Linked DNA regions of Drosophila melanogaster. The protein of the gene in region 3 interacts with the protein of the main gene of each other region in a pairwise test. Each region holds a gene or a part of one and is shown on either strand. Other genes may lie near its edges.

The links.
Region 1: the proteins of CG6479 (region 3) and CG15212 interact in a two-hybrid assay, tested with the Drosophila melanogaster proteins (one large-scale study listed by BioGRID).
Region 2: the proteins of CG6479 (region 3) and Elovl7 interact in a two-hybrid assay, tested with the Drosophila melanogaster proteins (one large-scale study listed by BioGRID).
Region 4: the proteins of CG6479 (region 3) and CG11313 interact in a two-hybrid assay, tested with the Drosophila melanogaster proteins (one large-scale study listed by BioGRID).

What each region holds. Positions count from the first base shown.
Region 1 is NT_037436.4:5,129,898-5,132,661, reverse strand, and holds CG15212 (uncharacterized protein), read right to left. Parts: upstream 1,118-2,764; 5' UTR 1,059-1,117; coding exon 1,041-1,058; intron 903-1,040; coding exon 729-902; 3' UTR 535-728; downstream 1-534. Other genes in the region: CG4597 (uncharacterized protein), read right to left, coding at 2,422-2,764.
Region 2 is NT_033777.3:7,992,844-7,997,500, reverse strand, and holds the start of Elovl7 (ELOVL fatty acid elongase 7), read left to right. Parts: upstream 1-1,648; 5' UTR 1,649-2,078; coding exon 2,079-2,081; intron 2,082-4,657. UniProt on the Drosophila melanogaster protein: Catalyzes the first and rate-limiting reaction of the four reactions that constitute the long-chain fatty acids elongation cycle.
Region 3 is NT_037436.4:17,336,646-17,340,981, reverse strand, and holds CG6479 (uncharacterized protein), read left to right. Parts: upstream 1-1,719; 5' UTR 1,720-1,802; coding exon 1,803-1,825; intron 1,826-1,845; exon of another isoform or gene 1,846-1,870; coding exon of another isoform or gene 1,871-1,881; coding exon 1,882-2,186; intron 2,187-2,245; coding exon 2,246-2,853; intron 2,854-2,909; coding exon 2,910-3,239; intron 3,240-3,298; coding exon 3,299-3,661; 3' UTR 3,662-3,810; downstream 3,811-4,336. Other genes in the region: CG13727 (uncharacterized protein), read left to right, coding at 1-59, 189-703.
Region 4 is NT_033777.3:30,729,280-30,732,804, forward strand, and holds CG11313 (uncharacterized protein), read right to left. Parts: upstream 1,887-3,525; 5' UTR 1,868-1,886; coding exon 1,807-1,867; intron 1,753-1,806; coding exon 1,290-1,752; intron 1,237-1,289; coding exon 648-1,236; 3' UTR 558-647; downstream 1-557.

The DNA.
Region 1 (2,764 bases), about 12 Mb from region 3:
CACATTAAAATCATTCCTAATACTACTAATACACCTGAATGTTAAAATTTATGGTAAGTTGAAAGGCTGGAACCATGTGCTTCAACTTGATGGCAATCATGTCCGATTTTTCGTGACCAGCTCTCAATATGTCAATATGTGATGAGTTATCGTTACTTTTTACATAATTTTGATACTTGAAAATATTTAATATATTATATTTAGTTAAGCTATAATATTACTGGCATATCAAGTTAACTAATCATGCCAATTAATGAAAGTAGGTATGATCATTAATCTCACAGTGGGCTCCTTGTATTAGCACATCATTGAACCCACTTGATTCATTTACGACTGAGATTGGCCAATATTTATACGCATGTAAGGAAGATTCCGTTCGCTTTTCACACTCTCTACCCAGAAACGATCCGAAACGGGTTTCTTATTCAGATCTAGGCAAACAAAAACCCGACCCGCTGCCAGTCATTAGCTCCTTTTTGGACACACATGGAGATCTCATCCCCGACGCTTCGATGATATAAGAAAAGCCGACGTGTATGAAAATAACATTTATTTTAGTTACGATTACGTATACTTTACTCGTATGTATGTGCTTTTGTGTGTGTTTGTGTGTTTGTGCTTATTGGGTATTGTCTAAACAAAACGGTTTGAAAATCGAATGTAGTGGGGGAGGCAAGGTTCCCAATTGGCTGGACTAGAATCTGAACGAAGCTTATTGCGAATTTCTCCTAACCCAGGAGCTTCTTCAACTTGAGCAGCTTCTTCAGCTTGAAGATGGCCTGCGGATCCTGGGGACGCTGGACATCGTCGAAGGCAGGCTGGTAGATATTATCGCCGATCAGGGACTCATCCACGGGCACGGCAGAAATGAGGGCGATGGCCATAAGGCACACGAAAATGGTCTGAAAAATGTGAATTACAATAGATTTTTAGTACAAATTGAAAATTTAATATACTTCAACAAACAACTTCATATGTTGCACTTAATTGGAAATCATTTAATCCAATTATTAATCCAAATGTTATATCCAAATACTCACCAGAGCTAGGTACTTCATGATTGCTGCTGCTGGGGAGATGATTACGCTGATTAATCCAAATATCGACTGCACATGGCTCCATCTGGCATCAGGCCTTTTTATAGCCAAACTTTTGGGTGACCATCGATGATAATGTCATGTGTAAACTGCAGTTTGCAATGAAGAAGAGGACAAATGAACGATACATAAACAAAAGAGTCTCGCATAAATAAGACGGTAAGCGAAAAAGAAGTATAAACAGAAAAACCTGGCCAAAAGCAGACGATTCAAGGGGCGTGGCATGTTGAGGCAGGTGCTTTGTTTTTTTTTTTTTTCGGGCCAATTTTTTCGGCAGCGGGACCGAGCAGCAAAACCAGGCTGCCCTGTTTACTTGGTGGTGGCATCTTTTGTTTGCTTCGCTAAGCCACTGAAGAAGTTGATCGTTGATTAAATAATAATCAGACTGGGTAAATGAAGACATCGACAAATGAAGGTCACCTCAAATGCGGTCAGCGGAGTAATATTTAAACAAAACCCGGAAGAAGGCGGAAATTGTAATGCCAGGCAGTTTAATTGCTAATTCAGTGTATCTAGAGCCCCTCGATCACCCAATTCAAATGGTAAGTTAATCTGAAGTTCAAGATCCAATGATCGAATGATCAGTGGTCAAGCCAATTAAAATATAAATTATCACTTGAGCAGAGGATCCATAAATATTTGACACTTTGAACAGCTGTCAGGCCTGTAGAGTGGAATACTAAATCAATAAAAGTTAAGCTAAACGACGGAACCATTTTGGGCTGGGCGATGGTATAAAAACCAACATATGATTGGTACGGAGGCCAAGTGTTTTTTTTGCCCAGTCATCGTGCAAGTATTGATGATGCTGACGACGATCTTGCAGCTGAAAACCGGAAACATTCGCCCTGCTCTAAATATGTAAATAACGAACTTTCGAGAATGCCGCCACAATGTCAACGCAGCTCAAAAAAACATTCCACAGTTTGTACTCCACAAAAACAAATACGTGTCGAATGGATATCACAAACAAAGTTTACCATGACAACAAATTAAAAGATTGGATTGAATGGATATCTTTGAGTTAGTCTTTGTCGTCGGCTTGTCTCGCGCGGTTTAAATTCATGTTTGATATATTTCCCATGCCCCTGGGTTTTTTAATTAACATTTATGGGCGTGGCTGTAACATGTGCGATATGTCTCAATCCCGGCGAATTTTTAGTGGGAGATAATAAATTTTATTACGCACCCGAAACTCGGTGATAGATGGTACTATTTTGCAGAAAATGTGTAAAAATTGTTTTTTTGGGTGAAAAAATTTAGCAAAAAAGGGAGAGGCTCCATGTATAATATATTTGAAAAAATTTAAGTTACAAAAATTACATTATTCGTAATCGTTTGATACTTCCGAACTATCCTCTTTCGACTGAGTAACCTCTGTACTTGCTTCTTCGGTTTTCTCTACTGGCTTCTCAGTCGCTTTATTTTCCTCGCTATTTTTAAACAGCGATGGTTCCGTGTATCCAGGTGGTGTCTTAATGGAAAACTTGATTCTGCATGAAATCAGCTTCATAACTTCCTCGTAGACTTGTATCAGCTCAAAAAGTACCATGTATCTGCCATCGGGAATGCGGAAAGGAACCAGTTTGGAATCAATAACGCCATTCTCAACAAAATAGAAGCCTGGAACCAAAGGACATGAGACAACAAAAGTCGAGGGCAAAAGG
Region 2 (4,657 bases), on a different chromosome or scaffold from region 3:
AAATTTTCTGCAAATGCTCAAGGTTGAATCTCTGGGTATAAAGTGCTTATTTATTTTGATTTTTTGTTCACATAAATTTTACAACTAGGCGTGGCTTGCCGGCACCTAAAACTTGTGTTACAATATATTGTCGTGCGCGGCATTAGTTAAAGGACTAGTGAAGTGCATTCTAACTGGGAAAAACATATCCATGTCTGGTGAGTACAGTCGCAGTCTAAATTCTGATGATCAAATGGAAAATTTCAGAGCAAGCGGAAATATTACCTGCCATCTCTGTCCATATAAGGAGGATCATTCTGATCTAGCATGGTCAATTCATCGTGAGCTTTTCCTCTAGTCATACAGCCACTAGAAAGCCCTTGAATCGATCGTATTCATACTTCCCCCAATATGGCAGACGCGTGTTTCGGATCTGTGAGATGGGATCAGCTTAGGGCGACATGTCTATACATATTCATCGTCTCCCCCGCCGACTGTTTGCACATGTAAATTTGGCGCGGCTAGATTACATGGTCAGTTACGTGTTATTCGGTTAGAATTCCGCAAAAAGATCTTGTGCTCGGCGGCCATGCAGCGGACTTTGAGACGAAAAATGCAAATGTTTGCTTTGTTGCATTGCTTGGGTTTTTTGTCGAAAAACGCATCAAAAGTGCAGGGTAATGGTGAGATTTTTAGCAGGTAAATTAGAATAAAGGTAGTTGAAGGGTCGTTAATTGAGGGTAAGTAAATCGTCAACCAAGCCGCTGTCAAAGTTCGATCTAATTGCTTAGCTCACAAAAATCGACTACGTAACGTTTCAAGCTTGCACAAATAACAAGTAAGCGTCGGGTCCTCCGAAATATTAAGTATCCGCCAGGTTGCCTGCAACATCCAGGTCTCGGTAGCCGCTTTTCCCATTCGGGAATTTGTATGTTTCAGAAGTTCACGGCGCATTTTGGCCATTTATTGGCCATCACGAAGGCAAACGGAGGAAAGCCAAGTATTGGTCATTATAAATATTTAAGAGCCCAAGAGGCAAACTGGTTTGGTCAGCCCCATCTTCTTCTGCTTTTTACCGCATACGTATCCAAAGATTGGGCTTTGTTGCTGGCAACCTTTCCGCCGCTCTCCCTCGCCGTGATTTGATTTGATTTGATTTGATTTGTGGCTACGTTAATTTTTGCACACTTTTCCGATATGAAGGGCCGGGCCTGGGCAGGGGTTAATTAACGGACATTCTTGCCGAACTTTGAACTGTGCAATCATGCGCGCTGCCAAGACGCGGCAAAAGTACCGCTCCGATATTTGGATTGGCGGCAATTAGCGCCGCACTTGGGTGTGGGTGCAAAGGCGGGTGATACCCCCACTGGTGGATACCAAGAATTCGATTCCAAAGGGCCGCTGGCCGATCTCGCTCTCGCTCTGGCATCCTGACGCCCGACCCGATCGCTTCGGCTGTCAGAGCGAGAGCACACATCGACAACCTGTTGCTCAGAACCTGTGGCTAGCGACCGAAGCTTTCGACTTCGGCTCACCTCAACGCCAGCGCCATCGCCACGCTCGCCGAAAATGAGCGGTCGGCGGCGCCGACGATCTGCGTCGACGTCTGCGCCAAGTCCGCTCCTACGACTGCGAGGCGGTATAAAAGTAAAGCGGCAGCGTGAAATCAAACTTATTTCAGTGTTTTTGATTTGAATGTAAAAAGCGCACGCTCGCCCAGTCGCTGTCCAGTTGTTGTCCAGTAAAGTCCAGCGGAGCAGCAGCAGCGGCAGATCGGTCGCATCAGCAGTAGCATCAGCAGCAGTTCCCCGCAACAGTGATGTAGAAACCATAAAACCGTATAACGATGGTCAAACAGTGTGTGCGTGTGTAAAACAATAACTAAAAACCTACAAGCAAGAAAAACGAAAAAAAAAAACGAAACGAAACGAACAAGGATAGTGCGCTAAAAAGTGATAATTCGTATACCAAAGTCGAGAGAATCTCTGTAAATTAGTCAAAAAAAAAAAAAAGAAAAAATAAATAAATACAGTACGCTTCCTTGTAACAAACGGAATATAAACGCGCATTTAGTACCTGTTGAAGCGAATTTTAGCACAATGGTAAGTAGCGGGGGTTCCCGACCGAACACCCAGTGTGACTCAACGGAAAATTGATGCCACTGAAACCTCCTTTATTAAAATGCCTTTGCAACCAGTAATTTCGATGCCGACCCCCAACATGCAAGCCTGAATAAATAAATATACATGATCGTACGTTGACTTGGGCTTTCCGTTAAATCCCACAACCCACAAATGACCCTTTGCACACGACTCGTGTGTGCTGCTGCTGCTATTAAGCAAGAAATTAATAATAAAAAAAAAAATAAATAAAGCTCCTATAATGAATATCCGCAATGCAGCCGTTAAAATTAATTGAGCAAATTATTAATCGAGAAAACCTCTCGAGCACCAGCCATTCCTGGTTCTTATTCGTTTTCTTTGGAAATGGAAAAAAACCGCACGCCAGCAACTGGTTTTCGTTTTCAAGTACACATTCGCTAGCAAGGTTTTCCACTGTTTTTTCCCAAATGCATTTTTGCCGACTCCGCGCAGACCTTTCCACGCTTTTCGCCCACTTTTCCCCCGCTTTCTGCCACAAAACATGAGCGTTTTGCTCTGTTCTGTTTTGCTAGAGCCATTCGCTTTCGAGCTCCGCCAAAAGTGCATACAGAAACTGCAAGTGCTGCACTTATTTCGAAGCTGTCGCTGTGTTATGTCCGCAGTTGCAGCAGCAGCACTTACACCAGCAACATCACTGGCTGGCGGTCAAGTGAAGTGAAGGCTGGCTTTTGGCTTTGACCAGCTCACTAGCCCACCAGCTCACCAGCTCACCAGCTCACCAGCTCACCAGCTCACTGGCATGACAACATTTCACACGGAAATGCAGTGCATCGCTGACCTTGAATCTCGGCCGGGGATATGGGATAACTGGCGATCGGAGCGCAGGTGAAATGATAGCCAGTCAGGGCCAGGCCGACTCATTTGTCCCGTCCACCTTACTTATGCTTTCGGCCCATCATTGCAGATGCTGCTGCTGTGTAGAAATCCAGTGATTTTCATATTCATTCAGCAGCTCTGCAAATTCGAGAGAAAAAACCCCAGTGGGTTAACCAATCGCCGCCGCTACTACCGCTGGCTAATGATCACTGGCATTGCACCATTTCACAAAAAAAAAAAAAAAAGAAAAAAAAAAATAAGCAGGCAACCCAGAAATCGAAACTTATTCAAATCTTCGAGTTGTTTTCTTCTCCTTTTGGCCTCTTACACAATGATTATTACACCTCGATTTTATTTTCGACTGGGACTTTTGCCGCATTTTTGTGTTGCCTCTTTTGACACTGAAAAGTGCAAAGGCGCTGGCGGCGAATTTTACTAGTTGCCAGTTGGCTATGGGCGGCTATGGGCTATCGGGTCTGGGTTGTTTGAGGCTGCTTGTTGGAGCCAGAGCCACTGCCACCCAGCTGCCAAACTGCGCAGCCCCCGCCAAGTGATCATAATAAAAAAAAATGTGCCTTAATCAGCCGATTTGCTTGCATTCCCTGTGGGCCAGTTAGCTACATTGGAGAGCCAGTCTCAGACGCATTGACGTCGCTTTATTGTTGACTGCCGCTCGGCACTCAGCTGTTTTTTGGTAAGAGAATCATGTAGAGAGCATATAGTAAACACAAAACCATAGGCAGAGTGCCCTCTTAGTACTTAGTGTGTGTGTGTGTGTGTGTGTGTGTGTGTGTGAGATAACGCTTGCCGCATGTGACTGAAATCGCAGTGCATTCGCTGCTCCATTTCGATTTGTTTGGCTCCACACGGCGTATGCGCGATTTTCTCAGTAGCTAGCTAGTCTTCGTTCACTTCAATTGCGAATATGCCATTTGGGCAAAGGTTTATTGTTCTACATAAAAAAAGTGCGTGTCTCTCAGCAATTTTTTTACTGGCTGTGTATATTCCCGAGCAAATTAACACTTAAAAACTGATAACGCAAGCGAAGAGAGGAATTCGAGGTAGATAAACGTAAAGAGACCATTAAACGGAGAGTACCTGAAAATGATTACATTTATGGACTCTTATCGGCCCGTGATTGAAGTAAGTGTCATTTGAAATTCAATTATTGCTCGTTGGAGATTAGACAGAAAAGTTATGCCAGTAAAGGTGTTAAAAACACTAAAAATAACAGCTTTTAAATTATTATTCAAACACGCTGGCTTGCATATTTTACAGCTCTTTGAGTGCCTTTTTTTTTTTGCAATTTTATACAAACTCTTCGTTCCCGAAAAAACAATTAATTTATACATATTTGTCGCTTTAAACTGGGTCGGTTGGATGAATTTATTTGTATAAATTAAATTATTTAGTGGGCCATGCTGTCATACCGAATTCGTGATTAAACATATTTCCATTAGTGCGAATTTAGATGGGACTTAGGTGCTAAAGTTGTTCGATTTTGTTTTTAAGTATTTTAAAAATGTTTAATAATATTTTCTAAATAATTTCCTTGTCGTACAACAATAAATTACAAATAAATTCCATTTTAAAGCAACGAACGCATTTGCAGTAATATATTTTCGACACATTTAATCCGAACACAAAATAATTAAATCAACATCAACATTGTGGGGCTAAAGCAAAATTTAAATTAGTGG
Region 3 (4,336 bases):
TAGCCAGGCCTATGATAAGTGGAAACTAGGTGGGAATATACACGATCGAATAAGCGTGGGTGAGTTCAAAGATTACTCAATCTATATATTCTACAAAGATAAACTCAAACTTAAAATGATTAATATTTGAAATTGATGACTGTTGTTTATTGTAGATTTCATTAAAAATATATTTAATACTATTTAAGGGCATTATGGCAGCAGTGGAAGTGCTGGCAAAAGTTACGCCTATGACAGTCAACCTTATCAGTATGACTACGGACCATCCAACGGACATGGCTATGAGCCAGGACCTGCTCCTGGGCACACCTACTCCTCCAGCGGAGAGGCAGGGGTGCCATACCACGTTTATCGACCTCGACCCGAACATGGCCACTACCCGGGGCCAGCAGTGGATTACTCCTACAGCTCCTACCCCATCGACTCCCACGAGATAGTCTCCCACAAGGGATCGCCAGAGATCTCACCAAAGGCCTTGCTGGCCAAAAGCTTCCTGATTCCGCTGGCCAGTGCCACCGTTCTGGGCATCGCCGCCGCCCTGGTCAGTAATCCTCTCCTGCTGCAACTAGCTCCTGTTCCGGGGATCGGTGTGGGAGTGGGTGTCGGACCTACAGTCGTTGGCAAACGAAGAAGGAGAAGAAGGGCAGTGAAGCGGGCTTTACGATCAGGGAATACTGATGCAAAACTGAATAGCTCTATCTAAGTACCGTCCTCTCGAAAATGTATTAAATCAGGAAACAATATATAAGATATTATTTTTAATATATCATATAGTTACAAGCGTGTTTTTTATTTAAAGTCAGTGATGGCATTTAAATAATTTTAATAATTTAAATAATTTAAATTAAGGGTCTAATGCTACGAGAGCCTAATAATTAGTTGTCTATATGGAGAGAATAAGATAACGTAATTTTAAGTGACTTGTGGAACCTTTTGTAATGGCTATATGTAAGTTTTTTTTTTACATTAGATTGCGTAATTAGTCGACTGAGGTTCAAACCGGCTCGTTGGTCTAGAGGTATGATTCTCGCTTCGGGTGCGAGAGGTCCCGGGTTCAATTCCCGGACGAGCCCCAGTCATCCCAGTGCGCTAAGGAATGTATAATTTTTAAACAAAAAAGTTATATTTTATAAATATTTATTTTAAAATATTTTTAAGTTATTGAGAATACACATTTAGTTGCATGTGTACACAATTATATACAATTTACTTAGGGAATGAAATAAATTAAAAGTTATTTTATATCATTAAAAACAAACTAAATTAAATTAAATTAAGGAATTTTTTAGCGTCCTCATAAATGTTGCAAAATTGTTGAGTCTTCGGTTTTGTACGGCTTATGTCATAATATATTGAAGATAGAGAAAAAATTTGTTTAAAAAACAGCTAATTTTATAACTACTCTAAAAAATATTATAAAACACTGCATTTAAATGATAAATTAAAAGTTGCTGATAAGTAATACGTTTAGAGTGGGTGAATAGCTTTAAACATTCGGATAAACAAAAAATCATTTTAAAAATCATAAAAATAATTTTAGTTCTATTAAAAAATATGATATCATGGATATTGATCCATACCAAAGAAAACATCGCCGATAGGTGTGTGTCTTCGCTAGGGAAAGTGTCTCCGCTAAGGTATCTTGAGCCAACAAAGTACATAACGCGTTTCATTCCAAACGGTATTTATTTTTTGACCTTGTGGTATTCTAACTTTTTGTCTGTGCTATCACTTACAAACAAGTTTTCCCGGCATTTTCGACCTATTCAGGTGATTTTCTAATAATTATCACATAGTAGGCAATGAATTTTACACGGACTAATTGGTAAGTGACAGAAACTAGTGTAGAATTCAGAAAATTAACCCATGAATGCTCCTCAGCTCGCCGCTGAGTAAAAACCCAGTGGTGCAGCGCAGCCTGGACTTGCGATTGCAGGGCGCCCAAGCGCGGCATTACCTCAAGTGGTGCTCCATAAATGTGGTGCTGCTGTCGCTACTCCTCTTCGACCTCTGGCAGGCATGTCGGTCCGCCTACAGGACCTACTGGTTCCTGGCGGAGTGCACCATTACGACCCTGATTGGCCTAAGTGCACTCGCCTGCTTCGGCAAGTATTTGTGGTTATGGTTTGGTGGTGACCAAGTTACGGGTAGCGATATCCAAAAGTGGCTGCTTGATGGCAAGGCAGGTGAGGAATCCAAAGGAACCCGTTCTAACGCATCCACTTAACCACTTTTATTCCTATAGAGAACTCTTTTCGTACAGTTTGCTCCCGAGCCGTGATGAAACCACGCAGCTACGAACCGGATAGCGATATAGAGGACGACATACCCATCATCAACTGGCACTCCTCCTTCGAGGACTCCTGCTGGGGCTCGCAATCCATGCGCCGCAGCCCCAGTCCCACAAGGACGCCGCAGCAGACGAAACAAAACACCTCTTACAACTCCTCGATGGTTCGAAACAACTCGCTGAATGCCAGCAATCTGAGCAACGAGTCTACCTATATGTCCCCGTATGCGGAGGTGCGACGCGATGACTTCATGACCGATACACGAAAGTTGACCAGTCTAATGAAGCAGGCGGATCGGGAGCGCAGCATGATGGACAGCTCGGATACACCCAATGTGCAGAGCATGGGATCGGCCAACTCCTTCTGGAACTACTGCAACAATGCGGCCTATATGCTCAAGACCACCATCTATCAACTATCGCCACCTCCGGCTGTTTCTACGGAAAATGCTCCCACCTCGATTGAGGAGTTTGGCGGTATTCAGTTTAGGGACAGCAATTCGGAGGTCATCAAGCGCATATCCACGGACAAACTGTCGCAATATGTGGCCAACCTAAGATTTGTAAGCATCCCGTTCAATATTCCACTGCAACGTACTAATGTCTTACCATTTTCTAGTGGATTTCTACGACCATACTTCAGCGTTTGGTCAAAGAGATCAATTATGTGGACGATGTTTTCCGCCAGCGAGCTCTGATTGACATTAAAATTGGATCTGTGAGTGTAGAGAGATTACGCAAAACAGCCGAGAACCAGCAGTTCGTGCAGACGTGTGCGCCCATGTTGCCCATGCTCTTACCTTTCCTGGACACCTTCAGCAACCAGGAATACCTGGTGCAGCGCATCAAGGAGCTTGCGCAGGGCTCTTGCATAGCTGACTACCGCTGGTACTCGGGCAAAACACACAACGGTCAGCAGCGGGACGAGCATTTGCCCACCGATGCAGCTGTGAGTATACGAAATTCCGCAACTGAGCACTCTTGATTAATTGTAACCTCATTCTGCAGATAATATTCCATTTATTTTGCGTGTACTTGGATAGCCAGTTGATGCCGTTGCCGCAGGGCGGCGGACGACCCTTTCACTCCCGCTACGTGTTAATTCGCGACGAGAAGAGCTCGACCAAGGACGTGGTGAACGCAGTTCACAACAAGGCCCACTGCGCCATTTTAAGTACCGGCAACCCACTTAACCCTAAATTTAACTTTATCAGCGACAAAGAACTACACAACTGCGTCTACGATAGGAATAACCTGTTCTACGTTATCATACAGTTCCTAATTTATATGCGACAGCACCAGGACTCTGCTCTGGAGTGCGTAAATCTTGGCAAAAGTGGTATCAACATCATGTGCGTCATCGAAGACTGAACAGTGGAACTAGTGGCTATGACTTTTAATCCCACCCCTAATCACTCCTTACTTCTAAGCATGATCCTTTGTGACTCGACTAGCGTTTGGTGACTGGACAATCCTCATCATTCGTTACTATGAAATTATACATTTGTAATTATTAAGCCAACTTACGACTGTTGTGGTTTCGCGGTTATCAAGTGTCGTGTGGCCTGCGGTCTGTGCAATTAACTTGTTTGGCAGTCGGCGGTAAGCTATATTCGCGGATATGTGCACACAGGTGCCCGACTTTAATTGCCCTTTCATGATTCTCACTATTGACCAGCCAGTTGGTGACCTGGCCATTGGCTCGGCCAGCGACATGCTCCCACATGCTCGCCACTTTGCACTTCCGAAAGTGACAAAATTAATGGTTTCCGCCGACGCTGTCGACATTTTGTCGAGTGAGAGACATTGAGAAAATGCTCCAAAGTAGTGCAAAATGAAGGAGTCGCAAACGGAGACCCCTAAAGCAGGCGCCAGGACGAGCAGGACCTGGGCCCTCTCGACCAGTCACATTACCATTTCTCTTGGCCATGCTCATTTCTGGGCTCTGGCTTGACGTTGAATCGGTTGGCTGGTTATTTTAATGCCGCCCATACTCCCGGATGCCCGGATGGCTGGATGGCTGGCACCTCGGGTGAGTAATGTGCC
Region 4 (3,525 bases), on a different chromosome or scaffold from region 3:
AATAGAAACATTTTCTTTCCGTGCACTGAAAACTGCTCCCAAGCTTGGCTGCTGTTGTCCATTAGGGTGGACCTGAACTTTTGTCCGCTTTTGACCGTTCGTTCTGGATGCTGTGCATCGCCTTGGGGGTCACGCGTTAATAATCGCGCTGAATGACTTCATAATGAAAATATTAAAGGTGTTTGTTGCCATTCTTGTTGTTGCTGCTAGCCGCCGGCCAGGATCAGGATAAGTATATACATATACATACAAGGAGCACCCGCAGGACTCGCTCTCACACAAAAGGCGCAAAGTTTATGTTTATGTCATGCTCTCGAATGCCAACGAAGGGGTGAGAGAAGGGACTTTTTCTTGGGTATAATTTAATAATAATGCTCCTTTTTTCATTAAATGTAAGTGCACCATGGGCAGAAGCTGCCTCAAGTGGCAGGTTGAAATGAGCCAAGGGGGAGGTGGGATAATGTTGAACTCAGTGCTGGGCATTCAAGAAGACCCATTCAGAAGGTGTAATATATCAAATGCTTGATTAATCGGCATTGGTGGTATGAATCAGAAATATTCAGAAACACATTTATTGATAAGGTGAGTTCACAACTACCTTTCCTTATTAAAATCTATTTATGCTTGTGTATGGAGAGAGCATAAACTTAAGGTCGTATATTCTGCGTGATCCACGTTTCGTAAGAAAGAACATTTGTGTAGACAGCTGGCCAGAATCGTGAGCCGCAGTTCAGGCCAAAGGACACAATGCCCCCAAGGACCCAAACGCCCTCGTGGAATGCCATCAGTGGTCCGCCGGAGTCCCCATCGCAGCTATCACCCCGACTTCTACCTTCGGCGCACAAGTGGGAGTCACCCAGGACCACTATGCTAGCATACTTGCGACGACACAGGCCAGGCTCCACGTACGTTACCCTCAATTTCATCTTGACGGGACTGCTTTCGCTGGTAAGGGTTCTACCCCATCCTGCCACGGTAAACGCCTGGCCGGATTGCCAGTTTTGCAGACCCACAGTCGAGGGCAAGCAAACAGGTCGAATGCTGGGCGAATAGGCAACCTCTCTCGCCAAACGGATCAGAGCAATGTCGTTCCAAAACAATCGGGTACCGAAGCTTTCATGTATGCGGATCTCCTCGACCGCGATTTGCACAGGTTCCGGTAGGCACCTTCCATTGAGGCAATCCACCACGGCACTGGTGTTATGCTCGCCCAATCTCACAGAGACTCTGAAAGAGCTAAGTGTTAATAATAAAAAAAAAACCATAGCAACAAGTATAAGGCCGTTTACACATCTCCTTTGCGGGCCCTAGTAGCAGCCGACACGCAGTGAGCCGCTGTTACAACATATCGATTATTGATCAGTGATCCCGCGCAGTATGTTCTCAATTGTTGTCCATCATGAGGACGGTACTCTAACAGCACCATCCAGGCGAATTCAGTGAGAACGGTTTCGTTGCCTTTCGTGATCTGGTTGTACGCTATATCGCCCCCACAGATGGACCGATCGGGAAGCAAAGTGGAATGTATCACTTCGTCGTTAGGTCTAGCACGCGTCGTGTTGTAGTCCGTATCCGGAGTGCAGCAGACGAATGGCAGATCGCTCTGGTCAGATACGAGGCAACGGGATTCTCGGATGAACCGCATCTCGGAGTCTGTAGGATTACTCTTCGCCAGCACGGAATTCAGTGGCACACACAAGGGGATGTTCACGCAATATCCAGTCCGCTGGTTGGGATTCCGGCAACTCACGTCTGTAAGTGATCTGGTTTCCTATTTGGGTACTAATTTCCGCTTTGTGCACTTACACTGTCCATGGGCCGTGCGGATAATCAATAAGCACAGCAAAACGGCTGCGATCACCTTCATTGCGCTTGCGACTGAATTCCGTAAGCCTCGACTACGATCTGTTTAATGATCACAATTTGGCAGTCTTTCTTAATTTTAAATAGAATTGATTTTAGCTTCAGTGCGATTATTTCTCTTATCTTGTCAGCAAGTCAAAGATTAGAGATTAAGCGAGGGAAAAAACATAGATTTGTCCGTTGGAAACCATTATAATAAATGGCTCGAATGAATAAAAAAGCTATACAAGATAACATTGCACATTGGCAATTAAAAATTGCTTGAATATAGCTCTGAAATCAATATGTATACATATGTCCCGAAATAAACCACTTGCCATTCTCGACGAATAGTCAATAGTCGGGATATCAGCAATCCGATTGTGTTTGCACTTTCGACAGCCGATCCCAAGAAACAATTAATGCCGGCAAAGGACGAGGGTAAAGGATACAGGACCACAGACTCGGTGGACCACAAGTAATATTTTAAATGTAGTTTCGGGCTAATTGTCATGCCATCGACGGCGTCTTATCGGACGGTAGCAAAACAATTTGGACAAATTTATGCAACACAAACGGACTGAGAGCCCCTTTGGGGCAAAGGGGCACGAAGGACACACAGGACATGCAGGATGCCCAGATGGACAGATAAGTCAAAAATGCTGCCATTAAAATGCTGGCATTTGCAAGTCTATCTGGTATCGACAGGGTCTCGCAAAAGTTACGAAAGGAGGTGAGCGGAAATCTAGCCGTGTTGGTCATTAATGAACATGGGCCAGTGTCCCCGTACAGTGGAGTCCATTAAAAAGGACTAAATGGCAATTAAGCACTGGAGTCAAACGGCAGAATCGGAGTCGCAATCAGAGGCTGAGGCAATTAAGCCTCCCCTTTCGCTGCAAGGACACTGGGCAATTAAGCCGGACCAAAGTTGGCCAATCCCTTGGAGTCGACCTTATCCTTTTCACCTATCTCTCTGGCCGAGGAAAACTTAAATGAGTTTTCCGAGAGCAGAGAGAGAGACAGTGTGTCCCGCTGCGAGCATTCAAGTGGCTGCAACTTTGATTGGCTGGCCGCTTGAGTGGGCAGCAGATTTATCTCCTATTTCCGAGCCCCCCGATTGCACATAAATCCCTATGACGATACCTACTGCCCGGCCAGGGATCTAGCCATAAAAATATTTCGAATACCCAACGGCACATGTGTGAGTTGAATTTTAGAGGGCGACACATCTTCGATATGCTCGTTTAAAATAATTTATTGCACTGGTTCTGACACCCATTGAACGTCTGCCACCGGTTCCTAAGTAAAGTGTCCCACCAAAACGAACTCACAAGATAAATTGCGCAAATAGAAAAATGTTCTATTTAAAATTATGCACAAATATTTTGGATTTCTTCTCGCTGTCCTCCATCGATGGGGTGCCAATTAAAATTGATTGGAAATTCCGGGACGGCATTCCTGGCATTTCTACGGCACGTGGGCGTTCCACAGCGCCAAGTAGCAGCTGCCCGAATCCTGTAACGTATCCTTTCGCTCGGGATTTGCATGCAGAGCCTTGCTTTTGAACTCGGATATGGGAAATATCTGTGTGTCCTGACCATTCCGCATGAGTACCCACTCCGGAACGCCAATAAAAAGAAGTCTCAATTAACACTCTTGTACTCTTGTACGAAATGCAGCCAG